Linked DNA regions of Macaca fascicularis. The protein of the gene in region 2 purifies or fractionates together with the protein of the main gene of each other region. This does not show direct contact. Links are inferred from orthologs where the notes say so. Each region holds a gene or a part of one and is shown on either strand. Other genes may lie near its edges.

What was found. Proteins that work in one complex are often made in the same cells at the same time.
Region 1: the proteins of FBXW11 (region 2) and CLPX purify together in Homo sapiens (affinity purification with mass spectrometry; 5 studies listed by BioGRID and IntAct, with this or other methods). This does not show direct contact. The link is inferred for Macaca fascicularis from reciprocal best matches to the Homo sapiens genes FBXW11 and CLPX.

The regions. Positions count from the first base shown.
Region 1 is NC_088381.1:41,742,668-41,746,315, forward strand, and holds part of CLPX (ATP-dependent clpX-like chaperone, mitochondrial), read right to left. Parts: intron 3,626-3,648; coding exon 3,449-3,625; intron 2,155-3,448; coding exon 1,990-2,154; intron 1,182-1,989; coding exon 1,093-1,181; exon of another isoform or gene 1,027-1,092; intron 101-1,026; coding exon 1-100. UniProt on the Homo sapiens protein: ATP-dependent chaperone that functions as an unfoldase.
Region 2 is NC_088380.1:178,789,967-178,794,100, forward strand, and holds the start of FBXW11 (F-box/WD repeat-containing protein 11), read right to left. Parts: upstream 2,823-4,134; 5' UTR 2,687-2,822; coding exon 2,642-2,686; intron 1-2,641.

The sequences.
Region 1 (3,648 bases), on a different chromosome or scaffold from region 2:
GGATGTTTGTTGTATCAACTTGTACTGTTTCTCCACGGAGCTTTCGGGAATTCTTTTCTGGAACATTGACTATTGTGCCTTCTAGTAGTTTTAATAAGCCCTAAATAAAAAACAAATGATTTATAGCATCACCATATCAAGTGCATTATTTATTATACTTTAGACAATGGGATTCAATGGGGAAAACAATGTGTGATTATGGTCAATGAACATAACTAATGAACCTCCCACATTTCTATAACAAGAAAATCTAATGCATTTATCACATTAATAATTAATACATTTATTTGAAATGGTTATAGAACTTGATGCAATTCAGGAAAACAGTCAACCTAACAGGTTGTTTTTGATAGTAAAGACGTAATTCTGACATAAACACAGAATTATGACGGTATAAAATGGTGTTCAAACACGGTGGGAACATTCAAAATTAGAAAATAGTTGAAGATGTCTTTCACATAAATTATAATTCTATTCCACTTATAGTATTAAACTTTGAGACTACCTATATTTGGAGATGCTTTTATAAAAAAAAATTTCCAGCACCTAAGTGTGATTATACCTTTCTATGTCTCTGTCAAAAAGTGAAACAATCTTCCTCACTCTTTAATAGTTTATGTCATAATTAGTTACCATTAAAAGGTCAAGTTGGCCAACAGATCATTGTGACTTCAATTATGGCTCTGCAAGGAATTAAACATTATTTTATACCTATCTTCTAACTAAGTGGAAGGAATAAGAAGCATGTACATAGTTCATTCATGTCTAGTTAGAATCATAACTTTCTTCAAGAGTCTTCTAGAAATATTTAACTGGGCCTTTGAGGAATTAAAAAAAAAACACAAAGATTAAATTTCATTTTTTCTGTTCTTCAAAATATTTTAAATTTCCTAACAAGGTAATTTGCTATTTCAAATTGTCAACAACTTTCTTTTAGGATCTAAACTATTTCAAAATGATATGCGGAGTTTGGGGGTGGAAGAAATAAACAAAACAGAATCTAATTGAATGTGAAACCAAACGTACAATATTTGGGAGGTTGATGTATTCCCTTCCTTTTAGTGGGCTTGAACAAAATATTCAACTGCTTACTTGCTGAACGCCTTCTCCACCTACATCCCGTAACTGATGAATGCCTGGCACACTGCCAATCTTATCTACTTCATCCAGAAAGACAATTCCTATAATTTAAGGAGGATTCTATTTATAATATGGAAAAGATATACACAAGATAGCCTCAGCTTTAAAAGACTTAGGTAGCTAGACAGCAAAGTTACTTGAGCTTTCATACTTAACATATGCAATAGCTTGACATCATAAAAATGCACTTTTATTTCTCCCATCCATCATTTTGTACAACTGCTTTGTAATCTGCTCTACGGAATAACATTTATGTATGGTAACAAAATCTCCTTGATAACAGTGATTTGCCCCACTAATGTATACGAATTCTTTATAGTATGGAAGCGGGAGGTATCTGCAGTGCTAGTATTAGTAAAACTTTAGCCTACGCTTTCCCACCTATATTCTTGTCTTAAAGAAATTTGAAAAGGAAGCTGTCATGCTCTTCATGTAAACAAGAACAGATGACAGATGAAGGAGCAACGCAGCATCCATGACATCCTGTAGGTCAACAGGCTAAACTGTTTCTAGAGTCATCTGGTACCGTCCTCCCTTGCCCCTGCCCTGTCCTATCTTAATCTAAGTATTAGAAGTCTTGAGGGGAGTTAAGAAAAGCAATGATAGTATTAAGGATCTAATGGGATAGTAATTTGGCTTGTTTTTAACCCTACCAGCCAGCTTAGTGACAATAAGGCAAAGCAAACTATGTGGCCCTTAATCAGTATGCTAGAAATTATGTAACAAAGGTACTTTTACATAATTACAGAATTTTAATCCTTGACTCAAAACAAGAATTGTATTGTCTCTTAATATTAGACTGATTCCCCAATATACTAAATCTGGGGACAGACCATGCTGAAAACATACCTTGTTGTGCTTTCTCCACATTGTAATTGGCATCTTGGAGTAGTTTGGCAATCACAGATTCAATATCCTCGCCTACATATCCAGCCTGAGTCAAAGTTGTACAGTCACAGATAGCAAAAGGGACATCAAGGCATTTAGCTAGGGTTTGTGCCAGCAGAGTTTTACCTACAAATAGAAACATTAACTAAAAGTTTACTAAACATATATTGGCACACAATTTTTCAATAAAAATGCAAAATAAATTTTAGTAGTATATAATAAAAAGTTGTCAATTGCTACATTTTCTTCTGCTATTATTTTTTTTTAGAGACAGGGTCTTGCTCTCTCACCCAGGCTGGAGTGCAGCCTGTGATCATGGCTCACCCCAGCCTCAATCTCCTGGGCTTAGGTGATCCTCCTGCCTCAGCCTCCCAAGTCCTGGGAGTACAGGCACATGCTACCACACCCAGCTAATACTTTATTTATTTATTTATTTATTTTGAGACGGGAGTCTGGCTCTGTGGCCCAGGCTGGAGTGCAGTGGCACGATCTTGGCTCACTGCAAGCTCCGCCTCCCGGGTTCATGCCATTCTTCTGCCTCAGCCTCCCGAGTAGCTGGGACTACAGGTGCCCGCCACCACGCCCGGCTAGTTTTTTGTATTTTTTAGTAGAGACGGGGTTTCACCGTGTTAGCCAGGATGGTCTCGATCTCCTGACCTCATGATCTGCCCGCCTCGGCCTCCCAAAGTGCTGCGATTACAGGCGTGAGCCACCACGCCCGGCTACTTAATTTTTTTTATAGAGATAGAGTCTTGCTATGTTGCCTAGGCTGGTCTCAAACTCCTGGTCTCAAGTGATCCTCCTACCTTTGTCTCCCAAAATGCTGGGATTACAGGTGTGAGCCACCACATCTGGTCTATTATTTTTTAGATATAGCTGTTTTTTATTTTATTATTCCTGTTAAGATGTTAGGGACTGGTCTGAAGGGGAACACCAATGCCTCAAATTCAGTTTGTATTTTTTTTTTTTTTTTTGTGAGACAGAGTCTTGCTCTGTCGCCCAGGCTGGAGTGCAGTGGCCGGATCTCAGCTCACTGCAGGCTCCACCTCCCGGGTTTACGCCATTCTCCCGCCTCAGCCTCCCGAGTAGCTGGGACTACAGGCGCCCGCCACCTCGCCCAGCTAGTTTTTTGTATTTTTAGTAGAGACGGGGTTTCACCGTGTTAGCCAGGATGGTCTCGATCTCCTGACCTCGTGATCCGCCCGTCTCGGCCTCCCAAAGTGCTGGGATTACAGGTTTGAGCCACCGCGCCCGGCCTCAGTTTGTATTCTATGCAGGAATATTGATAGTGTATCTAGGCAACTGGCCTTAGATTTTCTTCTCAAGAGTCATAATACTTCAATCACAAGATACAGGTTATAGAATCATTTATATTCTGATTTTTTAAATGAGTAATAAATTTTCTCAGCAAGTTATTTACCTGACCCAGTTGGTCCAAGCAGCAAAATATTACTTTTTTCAAGTTTTATGTCATCATGAGAAGAATCCAATACTTCACCTCCTCGTTTTTCCTGAGGTATTTGTTGATTTACCTGTTGCTGCATTGATGCTCCTAAAGCATTACCATGTGGGCTAATTCCAGCAATCTGAAGCAATTCTGAAAAAAATGCCAAAGGAAGT
Region 2 (4,134 bases):
AATGAAAGTTATCTTGTTAAGCATTAAGTGCCAAACTGGTACAAGCAGCACAATCACAAATATTTGAGTACTGAAGCTGACTCATAAAAATCTAAAAATATTTCATGCTTTAGGCTTTCAAAACACCATCAGTTTAACCCCTTTTCTTCCATCAATCGGATTATCTTGAAACCAATGTAAAAAATATTTTTAACCCAGTTCTGGAAACTGTAATTTAAACGCAGTGAAAACAGAAAGCCACATGCAATTAGATTCTAAGGCATTATCATTCCTACATTTGATTCTGGATTTACTCAATCAGTTGTTAAGCACCTGTGCTATTTTACTAAAATAAATACATATATTTAATTTACGATAAGGGTTGTCTAAGAGTCTTAACTGGTATCCCTTTCAGGAAATATCAAAATCCTTAAATAAAAGGCCATTTTAAAATTAATCGTAATATAACTGAACTCTATGTTAAAATTTTCTAAGGATTCCAGTTTAAATCCCAGTTTGTGTGCAGGAACATGTTTATCCATGTCAAATCTGAAAGGATATCTAACCTACTGCAAAATCAGGGGCAAAAATTGATATATTTGGGCCACAGCCAATGTCCTTAACAGGTTGAAATCTCTTTTCAGATCAAATCTAAGTGCTATCATGTAAAATCAAAACTTTTTAAGTTATAAGCATAGGAAGCCAGTGAATTTAGGACAAAGGTTTTTTTGGTTTTTTGGGTTTTTGTTTGTTTTTTACCATACACTGACTTGGGTTACAACGTATTTCTTATAATTCTTTTGAAAATAAATACATTTTCGTTATTTTCAAAAGGAATAGAAATGGAAGGAGCTGGGAACAGCCAATTTCAAAGAGTCACCAAGTTACAATTTTTCGATATGAAGTACTTCTGTTGTAAGTACATGCACTGGGTGTACATTTTTAAGAATATGTAATATACTTAGTCGATTTAAGATATTTACCAAAATAACCCACTACAAAAGTTACAGAATACCAAACACTTGACTACAAGTATGATAAATTATGCTGAAAAGGAAAAATCACTCAGCATGTGACATTATCCCTTTGAAAACAACCCCACGTGCACACACACACACGCACGCAAAAATCAAAAACTATCAGTTTCTCTTTTTTCCTCCTAGTTTTCAAGAATGCTAGAGAAGTCAAGTTCTGTGAATTACGCAAAGGACAGCAAACATTAAACTGCCTCCATATTTATGCTACCGAACTTCCATTTTTAAAGCAAGCATCTCAACTCCCCAGACACCACCATCCACAGAAACCATGCAGCTATCCAACAGACTTTCAGTGTCACCATTTATTATTTATAGCGTTAAATGGGGGAAGTGGCTCTGATGTCACCAACCCTACCCAGTGGAATCACTGACTCAATAAACATTTTCACATTGAAGAAAATCTGGCTAGGAAAACATTTTGCTGGGTTAAGTAGATTCTTCCACCTCTCTCCTCTCAGCCCTGGGGAAGAAGTTGTTACCGTGTTAGGAGAGATACAAAGAAACTGTCAAGGCTTCCACAGGAAGAAATCCTGGACATGTCCATTTGCTGATGCAGACTTCCTCTTCCCAACTCTCCAGAGCCCAGTTTGATTTCCCTAATGCTCACATTGGCAAGTAATATCTGCCATATTTTATTTCTTCCACCAAATCATCCCCTTCTAGCCACTCTCTCACGGTCCTGTTCCTAAAACCCCCTTCTGGCTTCAAATCCTAAAGCTTCGGAGGAGGGTGGAGGGTGTCCACGGACCGGGGAGTCTGGCCTGCCTGCCAGTGGTTTCTAACAGAAGAGTGTTCGCTTCCCCCGGGGGCCAAGGATTCCCCTTTTTTTCTTTCTGAGAAGAAAGAACTCGCGGCAGTGATGAGGATGGCTCCCTCCCCACTCATCCCCAATTTCCCAAAGCAGCTCTGGAAAACGTGAAGTTACGGCTTCTCTTTCCTGGGGGATGGAATCCAGAGTACCTGGGGCCTTGCTATGCAAACATCCCTCTCCGCCGGGTAGGAAACCCTTTGTCCGAGAAGTCGGACACCACAAGGGCCCGGGAAAGAGGCCTCCTTATCCGCCACAGCTTCAAACCCGAAAGCTCCCTGCCCCCCAGCTCTGTAGGGCCTATCCTGGCATCCACACAGACCTAGGCTGGGGAGTGGGTGCTGAGACCCCTCCTAGGACGCGGAGGCCCAGGCGGCCCTGACCCATCTCCTCGGCACTCCTTCCCACCACCTCACTCGGCCTGAGTGGAGCTTGCAAGCGCGGTGCGGGCCTGGGCCGAAACAGAGGAAAGAAAAAAAATCCCTTTCTAAAAGAAGGAGAATGGGGTGCTAGAGCGAGTGCGACCTAAGTCTACAGCATAAACGAGCGAGGGTCGTCCGAAAGCTGGGACCGGAGACGGGACAGGGGGTGGGGGAGAAACGAGGGGCATAGAGGGGGCCGGGCCAGGACCGGCCGGAGATGTCGAGGGATCAGAGGAGCCCGCGCCGGGTCCGAGGCCAGGGTAGGCTGGGGGCCCGGGTCCGGGCCGAGGCTTCTGGGAAGGGCCAGAGCCGGCCTCGCACCGGACGTTGAGGTGGGCAGGCCCGCCCGGGGCCGGACGGACGGAAGCACAGACGGTCCAGCGGGCCGCACTCACCATGAGCTCGATGGTCTTGTCCTCAATCACCGAGTCGGGCTCCATGGCGGCCCCGGCGGCCCCGCCTCGCTCTCCCCGCGCAGCAGCGAACGGCCCGGGCGGAGGAGGCGACGGCGGAGGCGGCAGAGGCGGAGGCGGCTATCGCACCCACTCTAGCTGCCAGCCCGCCCGGGCCGCCGGCAGCTCCGCCCTCCCCCTCGGCGAACGCAGTACGCAGAGCGGGGACTACACCTCCCAGCAGGCGCCGCGGCCCGCAGAGCGTTGTGGGACCGAGCCTCTGACACCGGGCTGCTGGCTCTTGGCAGCCCGAAGCTGAACTCCAAGCTGACAGTAGCACTGGACTGTGGACGTAGGACTTGCACACCTGAAGAGTTAAGAGCTTGCTCATGGTAGGGCCTCGAGAGCGCCACGACTACGTGTCCCAGAAAGCCGTGCGCCCGGGTTCTCCTTCCGGCTAGCTTCTCCTGACTTCCTGGCAGCCCAAGGCTGCCCAGACCGGGACGGAAACTCCGAGGCAACTCCTCACTTGTCGGAGATCCTGCTTGTGCGACCCATTTCCGCACATGCGCGGTCCATGCCGCAGTGCCCACTCGACGCCTAGGTAGCTGCGCTGCCCGTCCGCTAGTGTCTGGTGGCAGGGGCAGATGGTGGAGACAGGTGGGTTCTAGGGGCGTTAGGAAGGTGTATAGGCCTGGGGCTTAGGTGTGAAGGGACCAGCGAGTGAGAGAAACTCTGCCCGGGGAAGAGGCTCTGAGAGGATGGGCATCCCGGGAGTGAGGGTTTCGAGATTTCTTCGGGAAAATGGGGGTTTGGGGAAATGTGCTGTGGTGCTGTCTGTATGTCACGCGACTTACGGGGAGCTGAGAGATTAAAGGGAACCTACGTATATCGAGCCCCTTATTCATTCTTTCAGAAAATGGTTATTTTTTAAGCATCCAGCTTCTGCTGCGTACCGTTCTAGGCACTGAGAAACAGCTCTGAACATGAGAGACAATATGCCCCTGTTCTCATGGAGCTTAATTCTGGTAGAGGGACGACAGACGTTAACCAAGAGAGTGGCTAAGAAGGAACACACAAGCGGAGACTGCTTCTAGTGAACTCAGCCTCCAACTCTGTGTAACTTAGGTCTGTCAGTGCCCTCTAACCAAATCCCACCAGGAACACAAGGGTCGTTGAACAAACTGGGTTTATTACTGGTTGCAGTGACTGAGAACACACATTGAGGAAAGATGGGGCTTCTCCGGTAAGAGTTGTTAGTGATTTGGGAGAGGTTTAAGGAAGTGAAAGCTTCACTGGATTAGCTACTGTCAGGAAGAGAGGGTCGTTCCATGATTGAGCATCTCAGTTCATCCTACCTAGAGGAAGGGAATTCTAGATTGAGGTAAAGAAACAGCAGCCTGGCCGGGCGCGGTGGCTCACGCCTGTAGTCCCAGCACTTTGGTAGGCCGAGGCAGGCGAATTGCTTGAGCCCAGGAGTTCCAGACCAGCCTGGG